4 linked regions of the Saccharomyces cerevisiae S288C genome follow. Changing the gene in region 1 together with any one later gene gives a genetic interaction. Each region holds a gene or a part of one and is shown on either strand. Other genes may lie near its edges. The genes, in order: TSC10, CEM1, ELO2 and CSG2.

The links.
Region 2: mutations in TSC10 (region 1) and CEM1 together harm fitness more than expected from each alone (negative genetic interaction), as found in Saccharomyces cerevisiae (2 studies listed by BioGRID).
Region 3: mutations in TSC10 (region 1) and ELO2 together harm fitness more than expected from each alone (negative genetic interaction), as found in Saccharomyces cerevisiae (2 studies listed by BioGRID).
Region 4: mutations in TSC10 (region 1) and CSG2 together harm fitness less than expected from each alone (positive genetic interaction), as found in Saccharomyces cerevisiae (5 studies listed by BioGRID, with this or other methods).

Annotation. Positions count from the first base shown.
Region 1 is NC_001134.8:736,925-740,044, reverse strand, and holds TSC10 (3-dehydrosphinganine reductase), read right to left. Parts: upstream 1,464-3,120; coding exon 501-1,463; downstream 1-500. Other genes in the region: SLM6 (Slm6p), read left to right, coding at 1-109; REI1 (Rei1p), read right to left, coding at 1-204; Rab family GTPase YPT10, read left to right, coding at 1,676-2,275; glycine hydroxymethyltransferase SHM1, read right to left, coding at 2,309-3,120. UniProt on the Saccharomyces cerevisiae protein: Catalyzes the reduction of 3'-oxosphinganine (3-ketodihydrosphingosine/KDS) to sphinganine (dihydrosphingosine/DHS), the second step of de novo sphingolipid biosynthesis.
Region 2 is NC_001137.3:277,623-281,581, reverse strand, and holds CEM1 (fatty acid synthase CEM1), read left to right. Parts: upstream 1-1,955; coding exon 1,956-3,284; downstream 3,285-3,959. Other genes in the region: glycerol-1-phosphatase GPP2, read left to right, coding at 900-1,652; FCY22 (purine-cytosine permease), read right to left, coding at 3,418-3,959. UniProt on the Saccharomyces cerevisiae protein: Possibly involved in the synthesis of a specialized molecule, probably related to a fatty acid, which is essential for mitochondrial respiration. Is essential for oxygen uptake and the presence of cytochromes A and B.
Region 3 is NC_001135.5:188,894-192,405, reverse strand, and holds ELO2 (fatty acid elongase ELO2), read right to left. Parts: upstream 1,815-3,512; coding exon 771-1,814; downstream 1-770. Other genes in the region: exosome non-catalytic core subunit RRP43, read left to right, coding at 1-572; SNT1 (Snt1p), read right to left, coding at 2,237-3,512. UniProt on the Saccharomyces cerevisiae protein: Component of a microsomal membrane-bound long-chain fatty acid elongation system, which produces the 20-26-carbon very long-chain fatty acids (VLCFA) from long-chain fatty acid precursors and is involved ceramide and inositol sphingolipid biosynthesis.
Region 4 is NC_001134.8:308,527-312,403, reverse strand, and holds CSG2 (mannosylinositol phosphorylceramide synthase regulatory subunit), read left to right. Parts: upstream 1-2,090; coding exon 2,091-3,323; downstream 3,324-3,877. Other genes in the region: chitin synthase CHS2, read right to left, coding at 1-506; Cu-binding protein SCO1, read left to right, coding at 952-1,839. UniProt on the Saccharomyces cerevisiae protein: Required for calcium regulation. May regulate calcium accumulation by a non-vacuole organelle. Also regulates the activity of CSH1 and SUR1 during mannosyl phosphorylinositol ceramide synthesis.

The sequences.
Region 1 (3,120 bases):
CTCCTTTTCAGCAGACTTACTAGTACTGGCAGCAGCTGCAGACACTTTGGAGTCAAATGTCTCAAATGATATTGGTGGCAATTGTGCAACACGTCTTTTCAAATTGTAGCGATGCCAATCGGACTTCATGTGGGCCCGCTGCTCGTCGCTTGAATCAAAGGTCAGGACACATGAATTACACGTATAAACACCACTGCTACTCATCGTATTGTTACTGATATGCTCTCTTCTTGACTTCTAATGAGAAGCATCTCATAACCTGTACTAAAAGTGGAAAGAGGAAAATTTTTTTCACCTCATCGCATCGGTACCCATAAGAAAAACTTTCAAAATATAGTAAGAAAAGAGAATAAAAATAGGAAAATATCGCCGTGGTAATAATGTTATAATTAATATTTCGTATATACTTATACATGTACAAATAGCTACACCACTAGGGTTTGTCTTGAAAGAAATAAAGAGAGTCACGGGGAATATCGGGAATGAGAGTGGATGTGCTCTCAGTTGGCCTTCTTGCCGTCATTTTCACGAAACCATTTCCTGATATACCAGGAACAGCCAACCATGTAGAATGGCACGACCAGAATGTTTGATAGGACACCAAAAATCCATTGCAACGGAACAAAGCGGCTTTTCTTTGCGGTGAGCCCAAGGTCCATCCCCATTATCATCCATCCGACAAAATCTGTAAAAACGTCATCATCACCTCTGGCCAGCGACTTGGCAATGATATCACATGCTTGTTTGCATGGGATAGCGTCTGAGGGGCCTTCGATCAACTTTGTAATTTCGGGTTTCGTTAGCTGCTCTACAGTGAAACCTTCGCTTTCAAAATTACCAGGATAAACACAACTGATACGGAAGTTCGTCAGTTCTTGTCTTAAGATTGCTACCAGTGATTTGATTGCAGCTTTTGCAGGCGCATACTGGGAATAGCCCACAAATGGGTAAAGCGCGGTGGCACTAGAAAAGATGATGAGGTGGTGTTCCTTGGTTTGCTCTGCAAGGGCAATCTGATGTGCCACGTTCAAAGTTGTTTTATAGTTGATGTCCATACCCAAGTTCAACTCATGTCCGCTTAGCCCACGAAATAACTTAGGAACAGCCCCCCCTGCACAGCATAACGTTTGTGTAGGGAGTAAATCCAAGTCTCTCAGGGCATTGAACAAACATTCCACGGATTCGTAGCAGGACAAGTCGCATGGGTAGTAAAATAACCGTTGCTCAAGGTCCAAGGGCGCAGCCAACTTATGTTGCACTTGGCCCTCGTCAGTGGTTTCCCTTCTCAGGTGAGCTTCAATCCTAATTTCGTTGCATGTGTCCAGCAGTCTAGCCTCTGACCTACTGACGATAATAATCTTTGTGTTTTCAGCCTCATTATAATATTTTTTGGCGAATTCCTTTCCAAGACCTTGTGAACCACCAGTGATCAACACAACTTGGTCTTCTAACGTAAACTTCATTACCTACAAAAGATTATACCGATAACTTCTTTTCTTGAGGCAATCTTATTTAATCGCTTCCAGTAAATGCAGAGAAACTCCTCTGCATTTTTCATTTTTTTGTTTTTTTTTTGTCGTTTATTGTTTTTTAGCCTTACGTTTCACGTTAAGGAACAATGATAGTAAAATTACTCCAGGAAATACAAGTAGCACAAAATACGGAGGAATACGATATGGAAGCAACCATCAAAGTGGTACTGCTAGGAGATTCATCAGTGGGGAAAACCAGTATAGTGACTAGGCTCAAATCAGGTAAGTTTCTAGCAAAACATGCGGCTACGATAGGTGCGGCGTTCATCACCAAGACAATCGAGGTTCCTTCTAACGACTCCTCTACGGAGAAACGTATCCATATGGAGATATGGGACACGGCGGGTCAGGAACGGTATAAATCACTGGTGCCAATGTATTATCGAGATGCGAATATTGCTTTGATTGTATTCGAATTGGGAGACGTATCCAGTCTGCAATGTGCAAAGACATGGTTTCAAGATTTACAGGACCGTGCTCAGGGAACGCAGGTAATTATCGTGGGCAATAAGTACGATTTAGTCTGCGAAGAGCATTCAGGGGAAGTGACTATACCGGCGGAGTTACAGGGTCTGCCGTATGTGGCCGTAAGTGCAAAGACAGGGTACAATTTCGATACATTGAATAAAATAATAATCAGTTTGGTTCCCGAAAGTCAATTCAAGACATTGTCAAAGAACAATGAACAGGGAAATATACTGGAAATAAATAAAAAAAAAAGCGGCAGTGGCTGTATATGTTAATACATAAAGTATTTGATTTTAAATCATAATTACTTAGATATCACCTGGGACAGGGTATTGACCGACCCACTTGGAAATCTCGCCAGACAAAGCAGCGACTTCACTAGATTCATTACACAACTTCTTGAACTCATTGAGTCTTGATCTTGCATCTAGTTTCGTTGTTGGTTCCAAAGTTTTCAAATTTTCAGCGAGCTTAACGGCAGAATCAATGTACTTTGCGACTTGAGAAAACTCTTCACGGCCAAATCCTCTCGTGGTCATTGCTGGAGTACCGATTCTTAGACCAGAGGGGAAAAGAGCACTCTTATCACCTGGGATGGTGTTCTTGTTAGCAGCAATGTTCAAGGCACTTAAAATTGTCTCGACACGAGCACCGTCTACCTGAGTACCGGATAAGTCAATAACAATCAAGTGGTTATCGGTACCGCCGGAAACCAACTTATAACCCATCTTGGTTAGTTCCTGAGCAAACCATTTGCTGTTGTCGACAATTTTTTGTTGGTATTCTTTGAATTCTGGAGACATCGCTTGCTTTAATGCCACTGCCATTGCACCGATAGTATGGTTGTGAGGACCACCTTGATGTCCTGGGAAAACTGAGAAGTTGATTTTCTTTTCTAACTCATATGGGATTTCCTTGCCCTTTTTGGTGACAGACTTGATACCCTTTCTGAAGAAAATCATAGCACCTCTTGGGCCTCTCAAGGACTTGTGAGTGGTTGTGGTAACTATATCGGAATGTTCAAATGGAGATGGGACAACATTGGCTGCCACCAAACCGGATATGTGTGCCATATCACTCATCAAATATGCGCCGCATCCTTGGGAAATTTCCTTGAATC
Region 2 (3,959 bases), on another chromosome or scaffold:
ACTTTCTTCTCCCATTCAGCATTATCACGCCCTTCCACCAACGCTGGTTGCATTGTGTTTTCTTACTTCGGCTAGAGACGCCGGGTAATAAAATATATATCCTCGAATGAACCGCTGGCCTCGGCCATTTTCATATGACTTCATATCATTAATATGGCCGTAGGTTAAGCAATGCTACGTGAAAGATACCAATTCCAATCGTCTGCTTTCTCTCAAGAGGAGACTTTGCGTTCTTTAAAGGAGCAGAGAAAGAGGGAAACGGTGAAAAACTTCAATATTGATAACATCCATCAGCGTCTAAATTCCTATGCCTCCTTCGAAAATGGTCAATGTTATACCCTCTCCCATTAGATATTACCGTAGCGTACGTATTTGGCCCTGTCCTTTGGGGTTTGGCCTTCTCAAGTATTTTGGCACCTCGCCCTGAACGAAAAGCTGGCACTTTGTCCCCAGCCAAACTCTTCTCTCTAATATCGTCTTTAACGACAAGGTAAAAAGATTTCTGCAGTGTTCCGTCTGCGTCATCATCTGTGCCCCACAATCCGCGGCGTTTCCGTGTAAGCCGTCAAGTGAGGACTTTTCGGATGCTGAAAGAAAGTACGCTCGGAAAAACTACATAGCTGCCCCCCTAAACGGGCCTCCCACGTGACGTAAAGTAGGAATAATAAGAAGCCAAGTCGTTTCTTTTTATTCTAAATAAGTTCGTTTCTTTTGATGTTGTCATTTTCAGAAATATATATATATGCGCTTAAATACACAAGCTAAAACAACATAGTTAGGATTGCCAAAGGTTTCTTTTCTACTCAATTTGGTCTAACTCTTTTCATATTAATAGCGCCAACCAGCTAGTGTTTACCAGATCAGTGGAAAAACATAAAACAATAAAAACAATATTCGGAATGGGATTGACTACTAAACCTCTATCTTTGAAAGTTAACGCCGCTTTGTTCGACGTCGACGGTACCATTATCATCTCTCAACCAGCCATTGCTGCATTCTGGAGGGATTTCGGTAAGGACAAACCTTATTTCGATGCTGAACACGTTATCCAAGTCTCGCATGGTTGGAGAACGTTTGATGCCATTGCTAAGTTCGCTCCAGACTTTGCCAATGAAGAGTATGTTAACAAATTAGAAGCTGAAATTCCGGTCAAGTACGGTGAAAAATCCATTGAAGTCCCAGGTGCAGTTAAGCTGTGCAACGCTTTGAACGCTCTACCAAAAGAGAAATGGGCTGTGGCAACTTCCGGTACCCGTGATATGGCACAAAAATGGTTCGAGCATCTGGGAATCAGGAGACCAAAGTACTTCATTACCGCTAATGATGTCAAACAGGGTAAGCCTCATCCAGAACCATATCTGAAGGGCAGGAATGGCTTAGGATATCCGATCAATGAGCAAGACCCTTCCAAATCTAAGGTAGTAGTATTTGAAGACGCTCCAGCAGGTATTGCCGCCGGAAAAGCCGCCGGTTGTAAGATCATTGGTATTGCCACTACTTTCGACTTGGACTTCCTAAAGGAAAAAGGCTGTGACATCATTGTCAAAAACCACGAATCCATCAGAGTTGGCGGCTACAATGCCGAAACAGACGAAGTTGAATTCATTTTTGACGACTACTTATATGCTAAGGACGATCTGTTGAAATGGTAATCCTCTAAAATCGAACATATTTGAGTAATAATTCTCAGATACAGTCCTATTCTATATTCGCCACAAAACAAGTAATGATGCTAAAAAACGACACATTTATAAAATCACATCTTATTGATTAAATAAATACGTAGATAGATTTTTTTTTTTAAAACATATAGTGTGCTATTATTTCTGACTCTGTCTCATCTCAGAAAAATAAATGATAAAAAAGGAAGTAAAATCCTTAAACGTTATCAGGTTATTAGCAACTTGAAAGTGACAGGAGCCACAACGGATTAAAATTTAATTTCTAGTAAAGAAATGTCAAGAAGAGTGGTTATCACAGGATTGGGCTGTGTAACGCCGTTGGGAAGATCATTAAGTGAGTCATGGGGGAATCTGCTCTCTTCCAAAAATGGACTCACACCAATCACATCTTTGCCCAACTATAATGAGGACTACAAACTCAGAGAAAAAAGTATCCCATCAACGATAACAGTGGGGAAGATTCCAGAGAATTTTCAAAACGAAAATTCAGCCATCAATAAACTGCTGTTCACTAGCCAGGATGAGAGAAGAACCTCAAGCTTTATCAAGCTAGCACTACGTACAACTTATGAAGCGCTTCACAATGCTGGTCTCTTGAACCCAAATGATATAACCATCAATACATCTCTGTGCAATCTGGATCACTTTGGTTGCCTGATAGGTTCTGGTATAGGATCCATTCAAGACATATACCAAACTTCTCTACAATTCCATAACGACAATAAAAGAATAAATCCATATTTCGTCCCTAAAATCCTTACAAATATGGCAGCTGGTAATGTTTCCATCAAGTTTAACCTTAGAGGATTATCCCATAGTGTTTCCACAGCATGCGCAACAGGTAATAACTCCATTGGCGATGCATTCAATTTTATTCGGTTAGGCATGCAAGACATCTGTGTCGCCGGTGCAAGTGAAACGAGTTTGCATCCGTTAAGTTTAGCAGGTTTCATCAGAGCAAAGTCGATTACTACAAACGGGATCTCTAGACCCTTTGATACACAACGTTCTGGATTCGTACTTGGTGAAGGATGCGGAATGATTGTCATGGAATCGCTAGAACATGCTCAAAAGAGAAATGCAAACATAATTTCTGAGCTCGTGGGCTATGGTTTAAGCAGTGATGCCTGCCATATTACCTCCCCTCCTGCTGATGGAAATGGTGCCAAAAGAGCAATAGAGATGGCTCTAAAAATGGCTAGATTAGAACCAACTGATGTTGACTACGTCAATGCACATGCTACATCAACTTTACTAGGCGATAAAGCAGAGTGTCTGGCAGTAGCCTCAGCACTCTTACCAGGAAGATCCAAAAGCAAGCCACTGTACATATCCAGTAACAAAGGTGCAATTGGCCATCTTTTAGGTGCAGCTGGCGCCGTAGAAAGTATATTTACAATTTGTTCCTTGAAGGATGATAAGATGCCGCATACCTTAAACCTGGACAATGTTCTGACTCTAGAAAATAACGAGGCCGATAAGCTACATTTCATAAGAGACAAACCTATTGTGGGAGCTAATCCGAAGTACGCATTATGCAACAGCTTCGGATTTGGAGGAGTTAACACATCTCTTCTCTTCAAGAAATGGGAAGGGAGTTAATATTATTAAACTTATATATATATCCCATTATAATCGTTTTTGAATTATATGCTATCTATTCGAATGTCGAGATTTATCCATTAAAACCAATCATTTCAATGATTAGCAAAAATATTAATCAATTAACATTTAGTCATCGACCGAAATATTTGAGTTCTAAAGGTCTTACAATGTTATAGATGATGAACGCCCAACTTCCGCCTAACTCGAACCCAATGTCACCGCCGTACTCTCCGATCAAACGACTGATCTCACCAACCCAATAAGTTTGGCACATACCCAACGCTACTCCAAAGGCACCAGCAATTAAGGCAGCAGTACCTGCGATACCGATAGGTAGATGCTCCCAATTATCCCAATCATCAATATTGTAAGCACTGAAGGAACGCCTATAAATAAAATGCTCTGAACATGCAATGGCAATATAAATAGCCAAATAATAACCAATGGAATCCATAAAATTCTCCATAAAGCCGTCAAAGTAATAGGTAGCAGGGATGGAAATACCTAAAGTGGCAGCATTACCTGCCATTGTCCAGACTACTCTTGGTATTTTAGCCAAAGGTGCCCACAAAGCTTGAGCGGATAAAGCGACAGTGTACATTCCAGGGACATTATTAGCAACAGTTGAAAGAGCCAACAAAACACAGCAGAATTGACCGAATCCGTTTAGAG
Region 3 (3,512 bases), on another chromosome or scaffold:
TGAAAAGAAAATGGTCATACGTTTTGTATGCGAAAATTGTAGTCTTGAGTCGCACTGGTCCAGTCTTCGATTTGTGTTGGAATTCTTTGATGTACGCTTTACAGAGCGTAAAGTTACCTAGAGCATTTATAGATGAGCGTGCGTCCGATTTAAGAATGACTATAAGAACAAGAGGAAGAAGTGCCACCATAAGAGAAACGTATGAAATTATTTGCGACCAAACTAAGTCAGTACCGTTAATGATAAACGCAAAGAATATTGCATTTGCTTCAAATTATGGGATAGTGGAGTTAGACCCCGAATGCCAATTACAAAACTCTGATAACTCTGAAGAAGAGGAAGTGGACATTGATATGGATAAATTGAACACTGTGCTAATAGCAGACCTAGATACTGAAGCGGAAGAAACAAGTATACACAGTACGATCTCCATCCTCGCTGCTCCTTCAGGTAACTATAAGCAATTAACATTAGTGGGAGGAGGCGCTAAAATAACGCCAGAAATGATAAAAAGATCATTGTTGTTATCTAGGGTTAGAGCGGACGATTTGTCAACAAGATTTAACATATAAAAGACTCGGATAAAATTATCTGATGACTGTCGAAAGGAAACGGAAAACTTTTTTCAACGATAACATGTGTATGTAATATATAACAAAACCATCCGGTCTTTTACAATATAATAATAGTGATAATAGTAACAATAGATCCACTAAGAAAAAACGAATATACGAAAGTTGAATACTTAAATTCTTTCAAAGATTTTACACTTACCTTTTTCTTCTGTGTTGAGGTTTTGGTGATGGAGATGGAGTAGGAACGTTTTTCAAGTCAACGTTAACATACTCATTAACCTTTGCGGCAACACCGCCGTGGGCACGCTTTACCACTCTACTGGTTTTGGTGCCTTTACGTTTATAAACGTTAATGTAAAATGAAATAAATAGTACCAAATATGAAGAAATAATGGCACAACCTGCAAAGGTGGCAGTTGTTGAACCCACACAGTCACCACAATGTGGCAAAATTGGGAAATACAAGTGAACTGCTTTTTGGTAGACAGCAAAATATATGAAACCGATATCCAAAACAAATTGGATAATTTGAAATCTGGTAACCCATTCCTTCCACCAGACCCTGATGCCTCTGGCAGCCAAGAAATAGTACCAATACATAACCACGTGAACACCAAGGTTCAATGAAATAGGGACCCAAGAAATAGATGTGGTGCCCATCAATTGGGTGTAACATAATAAGGCAGTAGCGCCATGGTGATAAGTATGCAAAAATGTCAATTTTTTATGTTTTAGCACCAAGAAAAAGGTGTCTATAAATTCAATAAACTTGACAATGTAATTCATGTAATATAATGTAACGAGCGGTTGAGTCCAAGCACCAATATTACAGATAGCGAAGTATAACCCGTGCTGAACAATAATTGGCACTAATTGTTCAACCATAAGCAATAAAAGCGTCAATGAAAGTGAAGTTAAAACCAAATTATGCAATTGGAAAAGGCCATTTAATTTAAATGGTTTCGACTTACTTAACAAAAACCTGCCACCAAAAATAATAACGTAATAGGCAGTGATGGCGTATAGCACAGGGGGCAAAGTGCTTAATGGTAATTCACCTGCAATGAATTGGAATTCGCTTGGAACAAATCTACCGTTAGTTACACGAGTGACGACATCATCGAAATGTTCCCACAACGAAATATTAAAAAATGGTCGCTCCAAAGTTGGTAAATAGTCATGAAGTTGGGGATAACGCTCGAACAACGGAGCAGCATATTGAGTAACGAGTGAATTCATGGCTTCTAGACGAAGATAATTAGTTCAACCTTTTCACTTTGTACAAAATTGCTTGTGGATAATAGTGAAATGAAAAATATTTTCCAATTTTTCATTGACTTTTTCGCGATGTTTATTTCTCTGTGGGTTTTGCGATTTTCAGCAATGGCCGCACGCCAGGACATGTGAATACGTACAAAAATAAAATGTGACATATTTACACGACACTTAAATAAAGTCGTTTAAAATCGGAAAAAACTGTATAATGCAGAAAAAATACGAAATTACAATTATAATTAAAAACTCCTCCCTTTATATATATACATATATATATATATAATATAGTACACTAACACACGTAAGGTAATGTATGCTCGAGAGTTTCACCAACCATTGGATGGAAAAGAAGTAGAGCATATGTATTGCCCGTCTCAGCCGTTTGTTCAATTATTATTTTCCTTTTTAGATAAAAAACTGCTCATTGCATCTGGCGCGGAGGCAACCGCAGCCAAAGCTGCCAACGGATCATTCGAAAAATTGAACTTTGGAGGCGCACGACTTATTGGACTAGTGCGAGGGGCCGGTAAAGGGAAAGTAGGAGTGCCTTGAGAAATAGCATGCTGAAATGGCAGCAACGGCCTTCCATCTGGGTTTGATTGCCCATTCCCATTTACAGGATTTAGTAATGCAGAAATAGAACTCGATCTTGGCGTAGTAATATTCGGTTTTATTTCTTGTACTACAATATTGTTCATGCTGGGAGTGTCTTCGAGCTGTGCTTCGTGTCTTGAAGCGCTTTGGAAAGAAGATTTCATGCTTCGATCCGAATTATTCAATAGATTGCTGATTGTCGTCGATTTACGGCCAATGTCAATTGCATTCCTTTCATTACTGAAGTTTTGATTATTTGTTACTGACGAAGCTGCATCAGCCAACGTGTCAATATGGTCTAAGGGCCTGTTACGCAAATCTGTCACTGTAGGTTCTGCCATTTCTGAACGAGGAAACTGAATAGATGGTAGTCTTGGTGGTGGTAAAGTGGTTAAAGGAGCACTAATTTTAGAAAAGGTATCACGATGAAAATCAGGCCCAAATGGTCTTATAGAGCCATCGATAGATGAAATAGATGTATTATGCCCATGAGTTGGTTGTCCAACAAAATAACCCAAAGCCGGTCTTTGTTGAGGAGGAATATTACTATAGGCATTGATGTTTGGTCGTTCTGGTTGTATCAAAATTTGAGATTGTTGTACAGATTCTGAACTAGTCCCATCTCGCTTTAAGTCGGTTTCATCAACCAGTAATTTCCATCCATTGCGAGCTGCATTTCTTTGGTAGTAATTCCTTACCATTGTAGTAGATTTGGTACCCAGTTTTTCTGATATGAGAGACCATTGAGAGCCAAACTCCTTCAACAATTCTGGAAAGAGTTGAGATTCACGAACACTCCAATAACTTGTTTTATGCTCTGGTGCAGATTTGTGTTTCTTTCTCTGTAACGCATTCTCTAAACTGAAGTCAAGTTCTTTGGTCTCCTCTGGATAATAACCATTCTGAACAGCTCCTTTTGGATCCATTATTTGTACCCCATTGTTGGTTTCTATTACACTGGACTTATTGCTCTCTTCTCCAACTTCATCATGCGCCCTTTTTAAGTCGTTTACCCTCTCAGCATTTTCCAATTCACCTGCAAACTCTTCGCCTCTCTGTTCAATCATA
Region 4 (3,877 bases), 430 kb from region 1:
TCTGCCAGAGAGGGAGCCGTTGTGGAAGTAGTAGACATCGTGTATTTCGAGCTTTGAGAATACAATCTGCCACTTCCAAACAGATTGTTACTGGGCTGTTGCTGGGGTGATAGATGGTAGGGGTCTACCGGTAGATCTGCATTATCGCGGGGGTAAAGGTTACTCCCCTCACTTAGATGTATGACAGCCTCGCCTGCTCTTTTGGGAGACTCTTGTAGATTAGCAGCATACCTGTTCGGAGCAACTGGAGAGTTATGGGCACTATCGCGGTAAAATTGAGTTCTATGGCGACGGTCTGGGGAGTATCTTAGTGCAGCTCTCGAAGGAGATGCCGGAAGGCCTTGGAAAACGTTAGATTGGTCATAGCTATCCTCCAAACTCTCCTCACTGGGATTAGCCCACCGAGAGTTGCTGTTAGCGTTTGCGTAAAATTTGGAGAGGTTTGAAGCACCACGTCTATTAGGAGAGCCATTCGAAGGTTCCACCATAAACGGGTTTCTCGTCATTTCTATATGTGGTTCTTTGGTTTTTATTTGGGTCTATATGTAACTTCCTCTGTTTTCTCTTCTGAGTCACGAAATCAACAGTAATATTATGGAAGATAGTTAAATAGACTGGGGCCATCCCAAGGGAGAGTCCTCGAATTCCCAATTGAAACTAAATTGAAGTTCTGTAAATTTCAATATCGATGCTATCATACTCAAATAGGAAATATATAAACAAATAGTATAGGGGTTTATACTAGGGTTTTAAACCCCAAAAAACTAACCCTACTATCTTCTTTTCAGACCCTAAATTGAAGGAAATAAACGGGAATAATAATCAATAGCGATCTCCCGAAGAGAAAAGTGAGAAAATAGTATAATTGTGTCTATTGTGTTTATAATCGGCATTAGAAACGTATGTTCGTATAAGGCAAGGGAAACAGAAAAAACAGCAAACGTAGAAAAGATGCTGAAGTTGTCAAGAAGTGCCAATCTAAGATTGGTCCAATTGCCAGCCGCAAGATTAAGTGGCAATGGCGCTAAATTGCTCACTCAAAGGGGATTCTTTACTGTAACGCGCTTATGGCAGTCAAATGGCAAGAAACCATTAAGCAGAGTACCTGTGGGCGGTACTCCCATTAAGGATAACGGCAAAGTGCGAGAAGGCTCGATCGAGTTTTCCACGGGAAAGGCCATTGCTCTATTCCTAGCAGTCGGTGGGGCACTTTCTTATTTCTTCAACAGGGAGAAACGCAGATTGGAAACACAGAAGGAGGCTGAAGCAAACAGAGGATACGGTAAACCTTCACTTGGGGGACCCTTCCATCTGGAGGATATGTATGGCAATGAGTTTACGGAGAAAAACCTTCTCGGTAAGTTTTCTATAATATACTTTGGGTTTAGTAACTGTCCTGACATCTGTCCTGATGAACTGGATAAGCTAGGTCTATGGCTTAATACACTCTCTTCAAAGTATGGTATTACTCTGCAGCCATTATTTATAACTTGTGATCCAGCAAGAGACTCCCCTGCTGTATTGAAAGAGTATTTGAGCGACTTTCATCCCTCCATCCTGGGTTTGACGGGGACGTTCGATGAGGTGAAGAACGCATGCAAGAAGTACAGAGTATACTTTTCTACGCCTCCAAACGTCAAACCGGGCCAAGATTATTTGGTAGACCATTCCATCTTCTTTTATCTCATGGACCCTGAAGGACAGTTTGTTGATGCTTTGGGTAGAAATTATGATGAAAAAACGGGCGTGGACAAGATCGTGGAACACGTTAAGAGTTATGTGCCTGCAGAGCAGCGCGCCAAGCAGAAGGAGGCATGGTACTCCTTCTTATTCAAATAAGATTGTAAATATATGCTACTTTCTTCCTTGTATATACATATATACTTATAACGCTATAACCCGTTCTTGTAATATCGGCTATCACCCGGCGAAGGTGTATCGCAAGAAAAAAAAAAGCTCTCTCACTCTAAAGGAGGCTATGTGAACGTGGGAAGATCAAGTGAAAGAAATGTTTGTAGGCCATTTTCTTCCAGAACAGATCCGCTCTTGAGCTGGTGAGTTAGCACGATAACAAACAAAGATACAGCGTCATGTCTACCACACTACTTTGGTTTTCAAGTGTAATAGGCTACGTGATTCAAACAAAATGTTTGTCTAACATACAATCTAAAAAGGAAATCTCCGTGGGGCCCAATGGTACAATTGCAACGCCTGAAACTAACGGCGACAACGGAAACTCAAGTTCATTAACCTTCTATCTGACCTTTATGTATTTTGCTTCGTGGCTGCTCTTGGTGCCTGCATCTCGACTTTGGGAGAAGATGAGACCGATGTTTGTCTCTGACTCAGACTCGAACAGGAATTCTCAGTTTGACAACAACAACAGCGGGTCTGTGACAAACGAAGATGTCGATACGTTCTCGCACGTGTTGGATGATCCTCAACCACGGATTCCAGCCCAACAGCAGAAGCAAAAAATCATATCCGTGGCTACCTTCAAATATGTGGCTAAGCTAACAGTGCTGGCTCTCATAATGATTGTCGCTGATTTGACTTATAACATGGCTTTGTCATTGTCACCGGCATTTGATGTTGCTTTGATGCAAAATACTGCCATTTTCGAAATTGTCACTTTACTATATGGTGTTTGTGGAATCTCCAGGAAGAACTACGTTTTCCGTAATTTCCTCATCATGATGAACGCGGTCATTGGAATTTTGATCATCTCATACACGAAGGCTACCTGTGACATGCTTGCCGGAAAGCTGTCCGTCAACCCTAACACGGGTGAACTTTCTGACCCATTCTTGTTTGATAGGTTGAAAGGTGCTCTGATTTGCGGCCTTGGTGCTTTGATTATGGGTCCTTTTGCCGTGTTATGGAACCGTTGGTTTTGCAGTAACATTTCCAAGAACGAAAATTCTGCTGTAGTCTTGGTTAAGCAGAGCACCCACATGGCCCTAATCGGTATTATTGGCATGGTAATACTTTTGCCATTTATTCCTAAATTTCCCTCCCGTGAGTCTGTGGAATCCATTTCGTTGTTCTATAATGACAAGAGCTTTTGGTTCTCTCTACTAGGCTCGATTATCTTTGGTTCCTTGCCGAGCTTGATTTCGATATTAGAGTTGAATCGCAAGGCCCCTGCTGAGTATTTGACGACGTGCAACCTGGGAGCTATTATCTTTATGGGGTTAGCTGAGTGGGTTTGCGAACCTACGCAAACCACAATTGTGAGATGGGAAGTCATAGGATACATAATGCTAACGGTAAGTTTGTTGGTCCTATCAGTAACACTCGGGGAAGGTAAATACCACCATTAGTACGGACAACATACTTTATATGACTGATGATGATGTAACAAGCATATGCAATTATTTGGTTTCCCTAAATAAAAAATCCCAATCAATATCTTGATTATTTTCAAGACAATTACTAGGATGTTCTTCTATTTTTTTATTTTTATTTGTATATTGTATATTCTAAAAAGAAGAAGCCATTTGGTGGGCTTTATTATAAATATTAAGAGGCATACCTCCGCCTATCCGCCTATCCTCGTCATGAACAATCAATTAAAAGCGCTTATAAAGCGATATACAAGTACAGTACGCGCGATTTCTACAATACAAAAAATATACATCAAGAAAAAAAATGTTTCCAAAAATTATCTAAATGCATCGAAGGCATTAGGAGAAGTAGCTGTGAATACAACACCAAGATTCATAAAATGAACACACGGTTCCTTCCGCTTGGAAAATAATGCGACAAAAATACCGTATTGATCATCAAAGTAGTTTTAATAGATACCTAAAAAAACCATCTTGAAAAATCTCAAATTACGTTCTTGATCTTGTGTCATTGTTCAGTTACTGATCGC